3 linked regions of the Saccharomyces cerevisiae S288C genome follow. Changing the gene in region 1 together with any one later gene gives a genetic interaction. Each region holds a gene or a part of one and is shown on either strand. Other genes may lie near its edges.

What was found.
Region 2: mutations in NEO1 (region 1) and CRZ1 together harm fitness more than expected from each alone (negative genetic interaction), as found in Saccharomyces cerevisiae (2 studies listed by BioGRID).
Region 3: mutations in NEO1 (region 1) and YLR225C together harm fitness more than expected from each alone (negative genetic interaction), as found in Saccharomyces cerevisiae (2 studies listed by BioGRID).

What each region holds. Positions count from the first base shown.
Region 1 is NC_001141.2:259,577-265,415, forward strand, and holds NEO1 (aminophospholipid-translocating P4-type ATPase NEO1), read left to right. Parts: upstream 1-1,860; coding exon 1,861-5,316; downstream 5,317-5,839. Other genes in the region: PCL7 (Pcl7p), read left to right, coding at 1-194; DFG10 (putative polyprenol reductase), read left to right, coding at 582-1,343; SYG1 (Syg1p), read right to left, coding at 5,539-5,839. UniProt on the Saccharomyces cerevisiae protein: Flippase that catalyzes the hydrolysis of ATP coupled to the transport of lysophosphatidylserine, phosphatidylethanolamine, and phosphatidylserine from the lumenal to the cytosolic leaflet of the Golgi apparatus membrane and ensures the maintenance of asymmetric distribution of phospholipids.
Region 2 is NC_001146.8:577,853-582,116, reverse strand, and holds CRZ1 (DNA-binding transcription factor CRZ1), read right to left. Parts: upstream 2,538-4,264; coding exon 501-2,537; downstream 1-500. Other genes in the region: SAM complex subunit SAM50, read right to left, coding at 1-197; KTR5 (putative mannosyltransferase), read left to right, coding at 3,344-4,264. UniProt on the Saccharomyces cerevisiae protein: Involved in the regulation of calcium ion homeostasis. Binds to the calcineurin-dependent response element. Transcriptionally regulates PMC1, PMR1, PMR2A and FKS2.
Region 3 is NC_001144.5:587,195-590,485, forward strand, and holds YLR225C (uncharacterized protein), read right to left. Parts: upstream 1,725-3,291; coding exon 501-1,724; downstream 1-500. Other genes in the region: UCC1 (Ucc1p), read left to right, coding at 1-379; BUR2 (Bur2p), read left to right, coding at 2,160-3,291.

The DNA.
Region 1 (5,839 bases):
CAATTTGCACGAAGTTCTTGAGTGATTTTTTTTACAGTAACTCTCGATACGCCAAGGTTGGAGGTATTTCTTTGCAAGAGTTAAACCATTTAGAATTACAATTCCTGATACTATGTGATTTCAAGTTATTGGTTTCAGTCGAAGAAATGCAGAAATATGCAAACTTGTTATATAAATTCTGGAACGACCAGTAGAATGCTGTCCTGCATATTATTCATGCCCTTCCCTTACCGTTACTCGTATTATACATATCAATTTCTGATTTACGTAACGCGTACATATCGGTTATATTTAAATAATTTAATATTCCTTTTAAATCAGTGGTTTTTCATATTAGTAGCATTTCTCCTGAAATGATAGCTATTGCAATAGAATGAAAAAAAAAACTTTTTGCCCAAATAAATCATAATCTACCGGTAAAGAGAAATTCGGTCCTTGTTCTATTCAGTATTATGCTTTCTCTTTTTTTTCCAAAATGAGAATTAAGGACGTTTCGAAAAAGTAAAAATATACCAAATGTGGAATATAAATAGGTTTATCGGCGGACCGATCTGGCTTAAAACGTAGAATCTACCAGTCCAATGTACTTTGATGAAGAACAATTGCTAAAATATACTATATATGCCTATAGATTATCCTTTTTTGTAGGCATTTGCTCACTTTTCATAGCAAAAAGTTGTCTACCAGAATTTCTTCAATATGGTAAAACCTACCGGCCCAAAGAGAATTCAAAGTACTCAAGCATTTTAGAACGAATCAAGAAGTTCACAGTTCCAAAGGCGTATTTTTCCCATTTTTACTATTTGGCTACCTTTCTATCCTTAGTCACCTTATATTTCTATCCTAAATTCCCCATCGTTTGGATCATATTTGGACACTCATTGCGCCGACTTTATGAAACGCTTTATGTACTACATTATACAAGCAATTCTAGGATGAATTGGTCCCATTATCTAGTCGGTATATGGTTCTATTCCGTACTCTTGTTAATTCTTAATATATCACTGTACAAGAACTCCATTCCAAATACGTTAAACATGAATGCTTTCATCATATTCTGCATAGCATCTTGGGATCAGTACAAAAATCATGTTATTCTGGCCAATCTGGTTAAATATTCGCTGCCAACAGGAAGGCTTTTCAGGTTGGTATGCTGTCCTCATTATCTCGATGAAATAATCATTTATTCTACTCTGTTGCCCTATGAACAAGAATTTTACCTAACACTAGTTTGGGTAATCACAAGTTTGACTATATCCGCATTGGAAACAAAAAATTATTACAGGCACAAATTTAAAGACAATCACGTAGCCCCCTACGCCATAATACCTTTTATAATCTAGTAATGTGCACACTAGGGCATTCATATACATATATATATAGACGCGGTAAAGAACCACTTTACTTTCACTATTATCACTTTACCACTAATTAGACAGCAAAGGCTCGTATACGTGTCATTAAAAACGAAGGTAAGGCCATACCTTTTTGAGGCAGTTGGAAAGAGTAAATACTGGCACAGTGGCTAAGACCTATCACTGCCAAACAAAAGGTTAGACATCTTGGGAATTTCGGACACATTCGTTACTTAAAACGAGGACCAAAATTACTCAATACCTATTTTTTATTTAATATTTTAGGCATTGTTTCACCTGAATTTGCTGCTATTAGAAGCCTGATCTACGCAATAAAAGATTTCATCTGGATTTTTGAAGCTTATACAGTACTCAACAATCAGCTTATTAACAGCAATATACCGTTAAGCAATTGAGAAAAAGTAACAATCAGAGCACTTGTGTGGCATAACGTTAATCTGAAAAAGAAAGGGGTATCAGTGTGCACGGAAAACTTCAGAGACAAATGCCTAACCCTCCTTCATTTAAGTCACATAAGCAGAATTTATTCAACTCCAACAATAATCAACACGCAAACAGTGTAGATTCTTTTGACTTACATCTCGACGATTCATTTGACGCTGCTTTAGACAGTTTACAAATTAATAATAACCCAGAACCACTTAGTAAGCATAACACTGTTGGAGATAGGGAAAGTTTTGAAATGAGAACAGTAGATGATTTAGACAATTTTTCTAACCATTCTTCGGATTCGCATCGTAAGTCTTCAAACACAGATACCCATCCTTTGATGTATGATAATCGCCTCTCGCAGGATGATAATTTCAAATTTACTAATATTGCTTCGTCACCACCGTCGTCTTCAAACAATATTTTTTCAAAAGCCCTCTCATATTTAAAAGTATCTAACACAAAAAACTGGTCCAAGTTTGGTTCACCCATAGAACTCAGTGATCAACACATCGAAAGAGAAATACATCCAGACACGACTCCTGTGTACGATAGGAATAGATACGTTTCGAATGAACTATCTAATGCCAAATATAATGCCGTTACTTTTGTGCCAACCCTATTATATGAACAGTTCAAATTCTTTTACAATTTATACTTTTTAGTAGTTGCATTATCGCAGGCCGTTCCTGCACTAAGAATAGGGTATTTATCATCGTATATTGTACCTTTAGCATTTGTGCTGACAGTAACCATGGCAAAGGAAGCTATAGATGATATTCAGAGAAGGAGACGTGATAGAGAGTCAAACAATGAACTGTATCATGTAATAACGAGAAATCGTTCCATACCAAGCAAAGACTTAAAAGTTGGAGATCTCATAAAAGTCCATAAAGGTGATCGTATTCCCGCTGATTTGGTTCTTTTACAATCAAGTGAACCATCAGGCGAGTCATTTATCAAAACTGACCAACTAGATGGGGAGACTGACTGGAAACTACGTGTTGCCTGTCCCTTGACCCAAAATCTATCTGAAAATGACTTAATTAACAGAATTAGTATAACAGCCTCTGCTCCTGAGAAATCTATTCATAAATTTTTAGGTAAAGTTACCTATAAGGATTCCACTTCAAACCCTTTGTCTGTAGATAATACTCTATGGGCGAATACTGTTCTAGCTTCCAGTGGATTTTGTATTGCTTGTGTCGTCTACACTGGCAGAGATACTAGGCAAGCTATGAATACAACTACAGCTAAGGTTAAAACTGGCTTATTAGAGCTAGAAATTAACAGTATTTCCAAGATTCTTTGTGCATGTGTTTTTGCCCTGTCAATTCTTTTAGTTGCATTTGCCGGTTTCCACAATGACGACTGGTACATTGACATTTTGAGGTATCTGATATTGTTTTCTACCATCATCCCTGTCTCTTTAAGAGTTAATTTAGATTTAGCCAAAAGTGTTTATGCACATCAGATCGAACACGATAAAACCATTCCTGAAACAATTGTTAGAACGAGTACAATTCCAGAGGATTTAGGCCGTATTGAATACCTTCTAAGCGACAAAACAGGGACGCTTACTCAGAATGATATGCAATTGAAGAAAATACACTTGGGTACTGTATCATACACGTCGGAAACATTAGACATTGTATCCGACTATGTACAATCTCTGGTGAGCTCTAAAAATGACTCTTTGAACAATTCTAAAGTTGCCTTATCAACAACAAGAAAGGATATGTCTTTTCGTGTACGTGATATGATTTTAACTCTAGCAATTTGCCATAACGTTACTCCCACTTTTGAGGATGACGAACTTACATATCAAGCGGCATCACCTGATGAAATTGCTATTGTTAAATTTACCGAGTCGGTTGGCTTATCTCTTTTCAAAAGAGATCGCCATTCAATTTCTTTATTACACGAACATTCTGGTAAGACTTTAAATTACGAAATTTTACAAGTATTCCCATTTAATTCTGATTCTAAGCGTATGGGTATCATTGTTCGTGATGAGCAATTGGATGAATATTGGTTTATGCAAAAAGGGGCCGATACTGTCATGTCAAAAATTGTGGAAAGCAATGATTGGCTAGAGGAAGAAACAGGTAATATGGCTCGTGAAGGTCTACGTACTTTGGTTATCGGTCGTAAAAAATTAAACAAGAAAATTTACGAGCAATTTCAAAAAGAATACAACGATGCCTCTTTGTCAATGCTAAATCGTGATCAACAGATGAGTCAAGTTATCACCAAGTATTTAGAGCATGATCTTGAATTATTGGGTCTAACTGGTGTAGAAGATAAGTTACAGAAGGATGTGAAGTCCTCTATCGAGTTATTAAGAAACGCAGGTATCAAGATTTGGATGCTGACAGGTGATAAAGTTGAAACTGCTCGTTGTGTTTCCATAAGTGCAAAATTAATATCTCGTGGCCAATATGTTCATACGATAACAAAAGTCACAAGACCGGAAGGTGCATTCAATCAGCTGGAGTATCTAAAAATCAATAGAAATGCTTGTCTTTTAATAGATGGTGAATCCCTGGGAATGTTTTTGAAACATTACGAACAGGAATTTTTTGATGTCGTGGTTCATTTACCCACTGTTATTGCTTGCCGTTGTACACCTCAACAGAAGGCAGACGTTGCTTTGGTAATTCGTAAAATGACGGGCAAAAGGGTATGCTGTATTGGTGATGGAGGTAACGATGTTAGTATGATTCAATGTGCAGATGTTGGCGTAGGGATTGTGGGTAAAGAAGGTAAACAAGCTTCTTTAGCTGCTGATTTTTCTATAACGCAATTTTGTCACCTCACCGAATTACTATTATGGCATGGTAGGAACTCTTACAAAAGATCTGCTAAATTGGCTCAATTTGTCATGCATAGAGGTTTAATCATTGCAATTTGCCAAGCGGTATATTCCATCTGTTCGTTGTTCGAACCTATTGCTCTTTATCAAGGTTGGTTAATGGTCGGTTATGCTACCTGCTATACAATGGCTCCAGTCTTTTCATTAACTCTTGATCACGATATCGAAGAGTCATTGACTAAAATATACCCAGAATTGTACAAAGAATTGACTGAAGGTAAGAGCTTATCATATAAGACGTTCTTTGTTTGGGTTCTATTATCGCTATTCCAAGGTTCTGTAATTCAATTATTTTCTCAGGCCTTTACGAGTTTATTAGATACTGATTTCACAAGGATGGTTGCTATCAGCTTCACTGCTTTGGTTGTAAATGAATTAATAATGGTTGCCTTAGAAATCTACACATGGAATAAAACAATGCTCGTCACTGAAATTGCTACTTTACTATTTTACATTGTATCGGTTCCATTTCTTGGCGATTATTTTGATTTAGGTTATATGACTACCGTAAATTACTATGCTGGACTTTTAGTTATATTACTCATCTCGATCTTTCCTGTCTGGACGGCAAAGGCAATTTATAGAAGGCTACATCCTCCAAGTTATGCAAAAGTGCAAGAGTTTGCCACTCCATAATTCAATTGGTTTGGATTTTTCTTGTTGCTTCAACGGATTATCTTAAAAAAATCTATCATATTTCAAAATATAAATTCTTATTTTTACAAAGAAGATATAGATTATGCATAATATTATTTTGTTACATTTTTTTTCTTTTACTTTTTATTTTCTTTTCTTTGTACTTCCTCAAATAAGCATCTTTAGCAGGTTAACAATAGCAAATATCATGTCCAGCCCAAATCACATAATACTTTCCACTTCACTTTCACTATCTGTTTCGGGAGACCTATCATCCACGGTATTGACAGTTGGTCTTTGGAAATCAGTTGCATGTGCCCAAGGAATGGATCTCGAAATGTTCTCAAACACGGAGGACCTTCTTCTGAAAGTCCCACGGTAAGCGGGCATAGGTTCGGCAAAACTGTGAGGATTATTGTCATGTGAAGGCGTGATAGGTATGTCGTTAAGTGATGAAAAGGCTTTTGAACCCAAATCACTACTATCCATAGAATCATCACCGACCTGCGCAATTGGATAAGGC
Region 2 (4,264 bases), on another chromosome or scaffold:
TTCACTAGCTGCCCCAAAGTAATGGATTTCATAATAGTATCATCTAAGTATGCCTGTAGTACGCTAGGGTCGATATGATCTGTCCCTGTTGTTACTACACCCGCAACCCTAATTGGCTTTAAAGTAGAACTCTCATTGAAAATTGGCATCGGGCTGTCTAAGGAAATCTCATTATCAACACCAGATGATGAGGTCATGTTGAATTGAGCTACTTTTGTCTATTTGGCATCAAAACTTTTGCCACGTAAAACGCATCCTCATACAATAACTTTTTGTTACTTGCCATTATTTTCGGCAGCTTAGAAAATTCAGACGGGCGTAAAAACTATTAATCCGTAAGAATATCACTGTTTTATACTATTTCATTACAAAAACAATAACCAAATAATACCTTTGCATGGATTAGATTAGCCATAATTTCTACACTGTCATTATGAAATTACATATTTATTATATAGAAAAAAAAAATTCCTATTCAAAGCTTAAAAAAACAAAAATAATTAACTCTCTTGTCCCGATTTCTCCTGTCTGGCTTCTTCGTACAAGGGAGTGATGCATCTTCTACCACTTTCAGTTTTAAAATGCCTACCAAGAGCATCACTTCTTGCAAACTTTTTGCCACAACCCCAGGGTTTACCGTCCTTCAGCTTACCACCGCATACATACCTTTTCTTACCTGTATGCAAATCTTCGTGTCTCTTTCTATCATGTTGACGTGCAAACGCCTTACCACAAATAGAACAAATAAATGGCCTTTCATTTGTATGCGTTCTTAAGTGTGACTTTAAGTTATAAGGTCTTGTAAACTTCTTACCACATACATCACAAGCAAAATTCGCAGGATTTTTCCTATTATTTGTTACACTGTCTAGTTTTTCTAGATTGTCATTTTTCTTAACAGAAAATGTGCCATTATCGTTATTTTCGTGATTATCATCATTTTTGAAACCAACTTTCTGCTCAAATTGGCCCAAGCTATCTATGTCTAGAAGTATGCCAAGATCTTTGCTAGTGTCATCTAGTTCATTTTTAATATTGACAATGCCCGATTCAATTTTTGGTTTACTTGTTAACAAATTGTTATTATTATTATCCTCATTAAAATTGCTACTGTTAATGGTGTTATAGCTAGTTTTGCTATCATTGTCATAGCGCTCCCGATTATTGTCATTTTCACTGGATGGTAAAAGATCTGCCATCTCCAATAACTTTTCCCTATTTGCACTTATAGATTTAGCTTTTTCATCGGGAGATATGCTTCTTGATCTCGAGGATCTCCTGCTAGTGAAACTATTATTGGAAGTTTGAGAAGATCTTCTTCTTGATTTTTTAAGTTTCAATTTTCGACCGTTAATGATATCTTCGAAGGAGCGGTCAATATCACTGAGAGCTTCGTTGTTGTAATCATTATCATCTGGACGAAGTAGATTGTTATTGTTAGTAGCGCTATAACTTTCGTTATCCCGAACTTTTAGTTGTAACGTTCCGTCATCTTCGTTTTTAACTGGGAAGTGTCCCTCATTGAATTCCTGTATAGAAATGATGGGTGTTACCGGGGCAGCATGAGTGGAAGGAGAAGGTGTGGAAGAAGTTGGAATAGTCAATAACATCTTTTGGTTAGTACCGACTTTACTTTTATTAATGGCAATGGTACTGTTTTGAGTGTCAGCGGTATTAATAATTCCGTTATTACTGTTGTTGAAATCACTGTTGTTTGATGCTGATAAAAGGTTATTGTCTGAATATGTTAAAGATAGCAAGTCATCCAACTCATCAAGGTTTGAAATATGTTTATAACCATGTGAATTTACGGGCAGTAAATAATTTGAGTTCATAGATGCGACGCTCAAAAGATCGTCAAAATCATCGTTATTCGCGGTTAAGTGAGACATCGCAGGTGAAGAAACTAAGTCCTGTGGATACAAATAAGGCGTATGATAGTTTGATTCTGTATCGCTATAATTGGAGTCAATGCCCGAGCTCCTAGTGGTACCATCGTAATTAGATCTTGGAGATAAAAACTGGTTTGTGAGGGATGGCCGATGTTGATTATCAGCAGGTGTTAAGATATCGTCCCACTGAAATGTATCAGATTGTTCGACTTTTAAAGTTGGTGTTTGCTTCTGCTGTTGCTGTTGTTGTTGCTGTTGCTGTTGCTGTTGCTGTTGTAACTGTTGCTGTTGTAACTGTTGCTGTGGAAGATCTGGTTTGTATAGACTTTGGTAATTCAAATCTGCAGAATAAGAACCGCTTGACGGAGACAGCAAGCTGTTCACGTTAGAATCAAATGAGTCCGGGATGCCAGAGGAAAGGTTCTTTGATATTTTCTCCGATGAATTGGCGGAATCCATCCTCATATCCACATCTAAGTCCAAGTCCGATAATTGGAACGTATGTGATCCTGAATTGCTACTATTCCTGAAATTATTACGTCTGTAAGCGCTGTTATCGTCTATATCGTTTTTGTTGTTTATACTTTGCTCCTCTCCATTACTACTAGTCATGTAGGAAGCCATATTTCCGTTGCTGAATGACATCTTCCTTGTACTGTCTGACGAAACTTCCAATCGAGACTAAAAATACAACCTAGTTTTACTCGCGTTCAGAGTGTATAATCGTACTAAACTGCTGTGATGGCTATTGCCTGCTCTTTTGATTGTACTTTATCTAGCACTTCACAAGGTTTATAAACTCAATATCGGACTAATATGATAAAAAAAATTCAGGTGGGAAAAGTGAGAGGGTAGGCAAGAAGGTCGAAAGGAAAACAAAAAAACGTATCGCTGATATATAGCTCGCTCATGCAAGGCACAAATACAGGGGTAGGGTCCTCGACGTAGTAGACATTCTGCTTCTATAGATATTAATTAGTATAATGTTATTCAAGATAGCTTAGCAATTGTTAAATGCGCGGATGTACTTTTCAGCCCCCAACAGAGGGGCGAAGTTGCAACTAAGCTAAAGTGCAGTCAAAGCTGGAGCTCAACTGCTAACATAATAAGATGTGACTATAGTGCGCCTGGCAAGTTGCATGTTGCACTATATTACGACCAGTAATTTCCCTTGCCGAGCATATATGCCAATTGCCATTACGTGGGATATGGAAGAGGTGGGGTGCTTTTAGGTATTTGCTTTTTCTCTCATTTTTTGGATAGTACACTTTAAGCATGCGGTGTGTGGATGATGCCAAGAAAATTGAAAAATTTGGGCAGGCATTCGAGAAAGGGTCTTCAAAAAAATGCGAAGTAGTAGATATGAGTGCTTCCGTGCACAAATAGTCTTGTTCAATGGAGGTGTCATCAATAAATGTGTCTCAATACGGCACATCGTCATAAGGTAGCAGATGTTGCTAATAAGAAGGACGATAAATGCATTTCTGGGATGTATCCATTGCAATCTTACGGCGACGTGCATCCTGATTGCCTTCGTCATAACCATGTATGTGGTACTTGTATCTGAGCCTGCATCCGTAGACGGAACTATGGGAAATTTTCTTCCGTTTTCCAAGATGGATCTTGCGACGAAGAGGGACAGACCCTTTTATTCGAATTGTGTGAATACTCAGGACTATTTGTTGAATCCATCGTACATCAAGCAGAATGCCTCGTTTGTCATGCTAACAAGGAACGGGGAGCTAGAAGATGTTATCAAGACTATCAACAGTATAGAAGAGCATTTCAATCAGTGGTTCCACTATCCATATGTGTTCTTAAATGACCAGCCGTTTGAAGAGGACTTCAAAGCAAAAGTACGTGATGTTACAGTGGGCGCGCTGGTGGAATTTGGCACTATCGATGAGATATCTTGGAATTTTCCCAGTGACGTAAAGGATACGTTCGAGTTCTACAACGCAATTGAGGATCAAGGTGATAGAAGCATACTTTACGGAAACTTAGAATCATATCATAAGATGTGCCGGTTTTATTCAGGATTATTTTACAAGCACCCGCTAGTACAGAAGTACGAATGGTATTGGAGATTGGAACCCGATGTTGAGTTTTTCTGTGATATTACCTACGATCCCTTTTTGGAGATGCTCCGAACTAATAAGAAATATGGATTTACGATCATCATCCCCGAATTGTATTGGACAGTCCCAAATTTGTTTAGACACACTAAAAGCTTTATCAGTCAAAAAGGCGTTACGCTTGGGTCATTATGGAAACTATTTACAAAGGATTACGACATTTTTGAATCCGATGATCCGGAGTTACGGGACTGGATCAACTATGATTTTCAGGCCAAGGCTAAGATATCCGAAAAG
Region 3 (3,291 bases), on another chromosome or scaffold:
TCCCCTGGAACTGAAAGCTATCGACAGGACAGATTCAGATGTTTGTATCAATGGTGATTTAGTTCTACTCGGTTATGACTTTATTCCATATCAGATATCGAAGCCGTGGTTACTCTTTAGAATCGAACCCGTAAATAGCATTGAAGCAATCTTCAACTATAGTGAATGTTCTTTTTCATACCAGTTTGCATGGAGTTTGGCCTGCTTACAATCTGAAGAGAAAATTTCATTTCCTAGAGACACGATAATTGGGCACGGTTTACCTTACAAGCCATCCAAATTGATAAGAATTTTCGTCTACAAGCATCCGGAACAAAAGCAAGATCTTGGTCAAGAAATAGCATTGCCCAACTGGAATACCCCTTATCTTCGAAGATGAAAAAAAAATTTATCAATTAGTCTATAATATATGTGTATATACGTCTATGCACCTACCTACTTATAAATGGATATAATATTCTTGCAATGATGAAAATATGTATAGTCAAATTTCATTTTTTTCAATTGATAAATGTACTTTCAATGATGGAAACTCCTTCATCGTCATCGAATTTAGACTTCTGGCAGAATTGGTAAATGAATGGCTTCATGTTTGCCAGATTTTCAGCAATAGACCTAATGAAAGCGGGCAGCTCACTCATTATATCGTACCTATTGACTAATCTTAAATTAGATTCTTCAAAACCACGCGGAAATGAAATGGATGTAGGATATTTCCAACCATTTTGCTTATCCTCTTTTGTAGATGGAAATTTAACAGCATGATCATTTACACTTGACCCGACCTCCAAAATTTTGTCCTTATCACTAACCGCCCATATAGTCACTGTAGTGCTGCCATATTCTTTTGTTGTGGTGAATTCAATACACATCATCGAACGCTTCTCACCATTGAAACAAAGAAAATTCCATTTACTAGCCGCCTTATTGGGTATTAGCCCCTGGACAGCATCCAGATACAACATAGGCGTGTCCTTCAAGTCCAGCTTCACAGGTTTATCGTTTTTCTTGTATGAGATGGTACCATTGCAAAAACCTCTAGGAACAAAAACATGTCTTATCATTTTTCTGGACGTACTAGAAGAGTCTCTTTTTGCTAACTCTTCCAAGCTGATGCTCTTGTCAAGGTAATAATTGGAACCGTCCGGGTTTATTATGAATCCTTCTTGTAAATTTACGGTAATGTCAACCTTCAAATCTTTTAGTAAACAGCTTGTACTTCCCTTCGGAATATCTATCTTAATTAATAATTGAGCAAATCCACTGGAGGAAGAATTTTCCAAAGGTACGAAGTGAAACGTAACATTGTCCGATTCAACTTTTAACGTATCAAAATCTTTGATATTATCAATTTTAAAGCTTTCCCATATATCAATGTCTTCTTCAGAGTTTTCCTCACTGCTGGCTTTAAATATTTTGAAATTTAACTGAAAACCTTTGTATATACCGCCCATAACACTGGAATATAATAGTTGAATTAATCCACATTTGCCGTTGGTGAGATCCGTAAAATACAGAGTTTGTGTCTCTATTCTTGTTTCCGTTGGATTTCTTACTGCTTTTAATAAACTATGTGACTTGAACTTTTTGTGATTTGACGTCCTGCAAAACCATTCTAGTTTCGATGTATCCTGAAATTTAGTATAATTAGCATGATCCTTCTCGGATAAAACTTCCTTAACGGGGGCAAATTTCGTCTTCTCCTTTTTGATCGCAACCGCCATTTTTTCTTTGCTCTATGATTTTTATGTTAATTAAACTGTTCGTTGCCCTAAAATTTTGAAAATTTCTCGAATATTTAGAGAGAATCCGTCACTATTTTAGTATCTATCTTGTCTATTTATATATAAAATCTCATTCCCCTGTTATGGTTTTTGCCAAGCCCTATCCCAAAAAACCAAATGATACATGATAAACCTATTTATCCTCTTTAACAGACCTATCGTTTAAAGCTTTTTTATTGCAAACCCTATTCATTATGGCTTTTTGACCTAGGTCTCATTGTGACTTCTATTTTTCACTGTTCAGTAAAAAAAGAAAAGTGATTAAAAAGTATCACTATTTCTGTTAGAAAGCAAGTAGCTATTTTGATTGGTAATTATATACACATATTGAAGGAGGCCGTAGTATTTTCGTTTAAAATATATTACAGTAAGATAATGTCTGCTACATCTTCAAGTGGTGACGTGAAAAAATTTCAAGCTGTACCAAAACCAACGAGCAATGCATCACCACCACCAGCATCGAGTGGGTTTAACGCAAGGACCCTATGGCCGGATTTGATAGAAACACCAGAAAACCAGTGGGTTTTTGAGTGCAAAGATATTATTGAAAAGATAGGCACTAATGGACCGATAGCAGTGGAAATAAAAAAAAATATGGAAAAATGCTTAATGTACTTTTACACACTTAAAAAAAAATTAAATCTTTTTGATCACACCTATACGGCATCATGCATTCTATTTTACAGGTATTGGTTCATATATGGAATACCTACAGCCATAACTGAATGTATTCATATATCACAGGGAATTCTGGTCACCGCTTGCAAAACAATGGAGAATAATAGGCCTATAGAGGCCTATATTAAGGCGACTTGTGAGTTTTTGATGCAAAATATACCGTCTTTAAAAAGTCGAACAAATATTGATAAACTTAAATGGGAATTTAGAGATAAGTTAGTGACGAATGAAAAAAAAATACTATGTTTATTTGGCTTTGACTTAAATATCAGTAATCCAAAAGAATTGATTGAAGAAGTGTTCAGTGGCTATTATAGATTCAACAGGGATCACAATCTGCCAGAAAACTTTAAAAAAGCTTTTCCAAAAATTCTTCAAGAATCAAGAAATTTTATGGTCCAAGCTGTCACCCAGCCAGTTTCTTTATTGTGCGACGGTTATACGTTCATTGTACTATCTCTCATATACTGTGGTTTAGAGTATAAAAAGCTTGTAGACAAAGATTTCAGATATCCGAAAAACTTCTTCAAGGATAGATTCCCTATCGAAGTAACGCCGGAAAATTTTGCCAATATCTTTACCGATTACAAGTTACTGGAAGAGAATTTTTTCAACTTAAAAAGTAATAAAGGTGCTAAATTACAAATTGATTCAAGCATGATTGATTCGGTGATTGACGAAAGTGGCGATGTGGAAAATGAAGTTTCAGAAATCTCTGATCCGTTTAACTACGAGTTGATTAAATCCGGTGAGGTGAAGGAAGAGTTTTTGAATCATATTGAAACAAGGGTTAAAGATTTACTAGATAAGGCTAAACAAGAAAGTATGA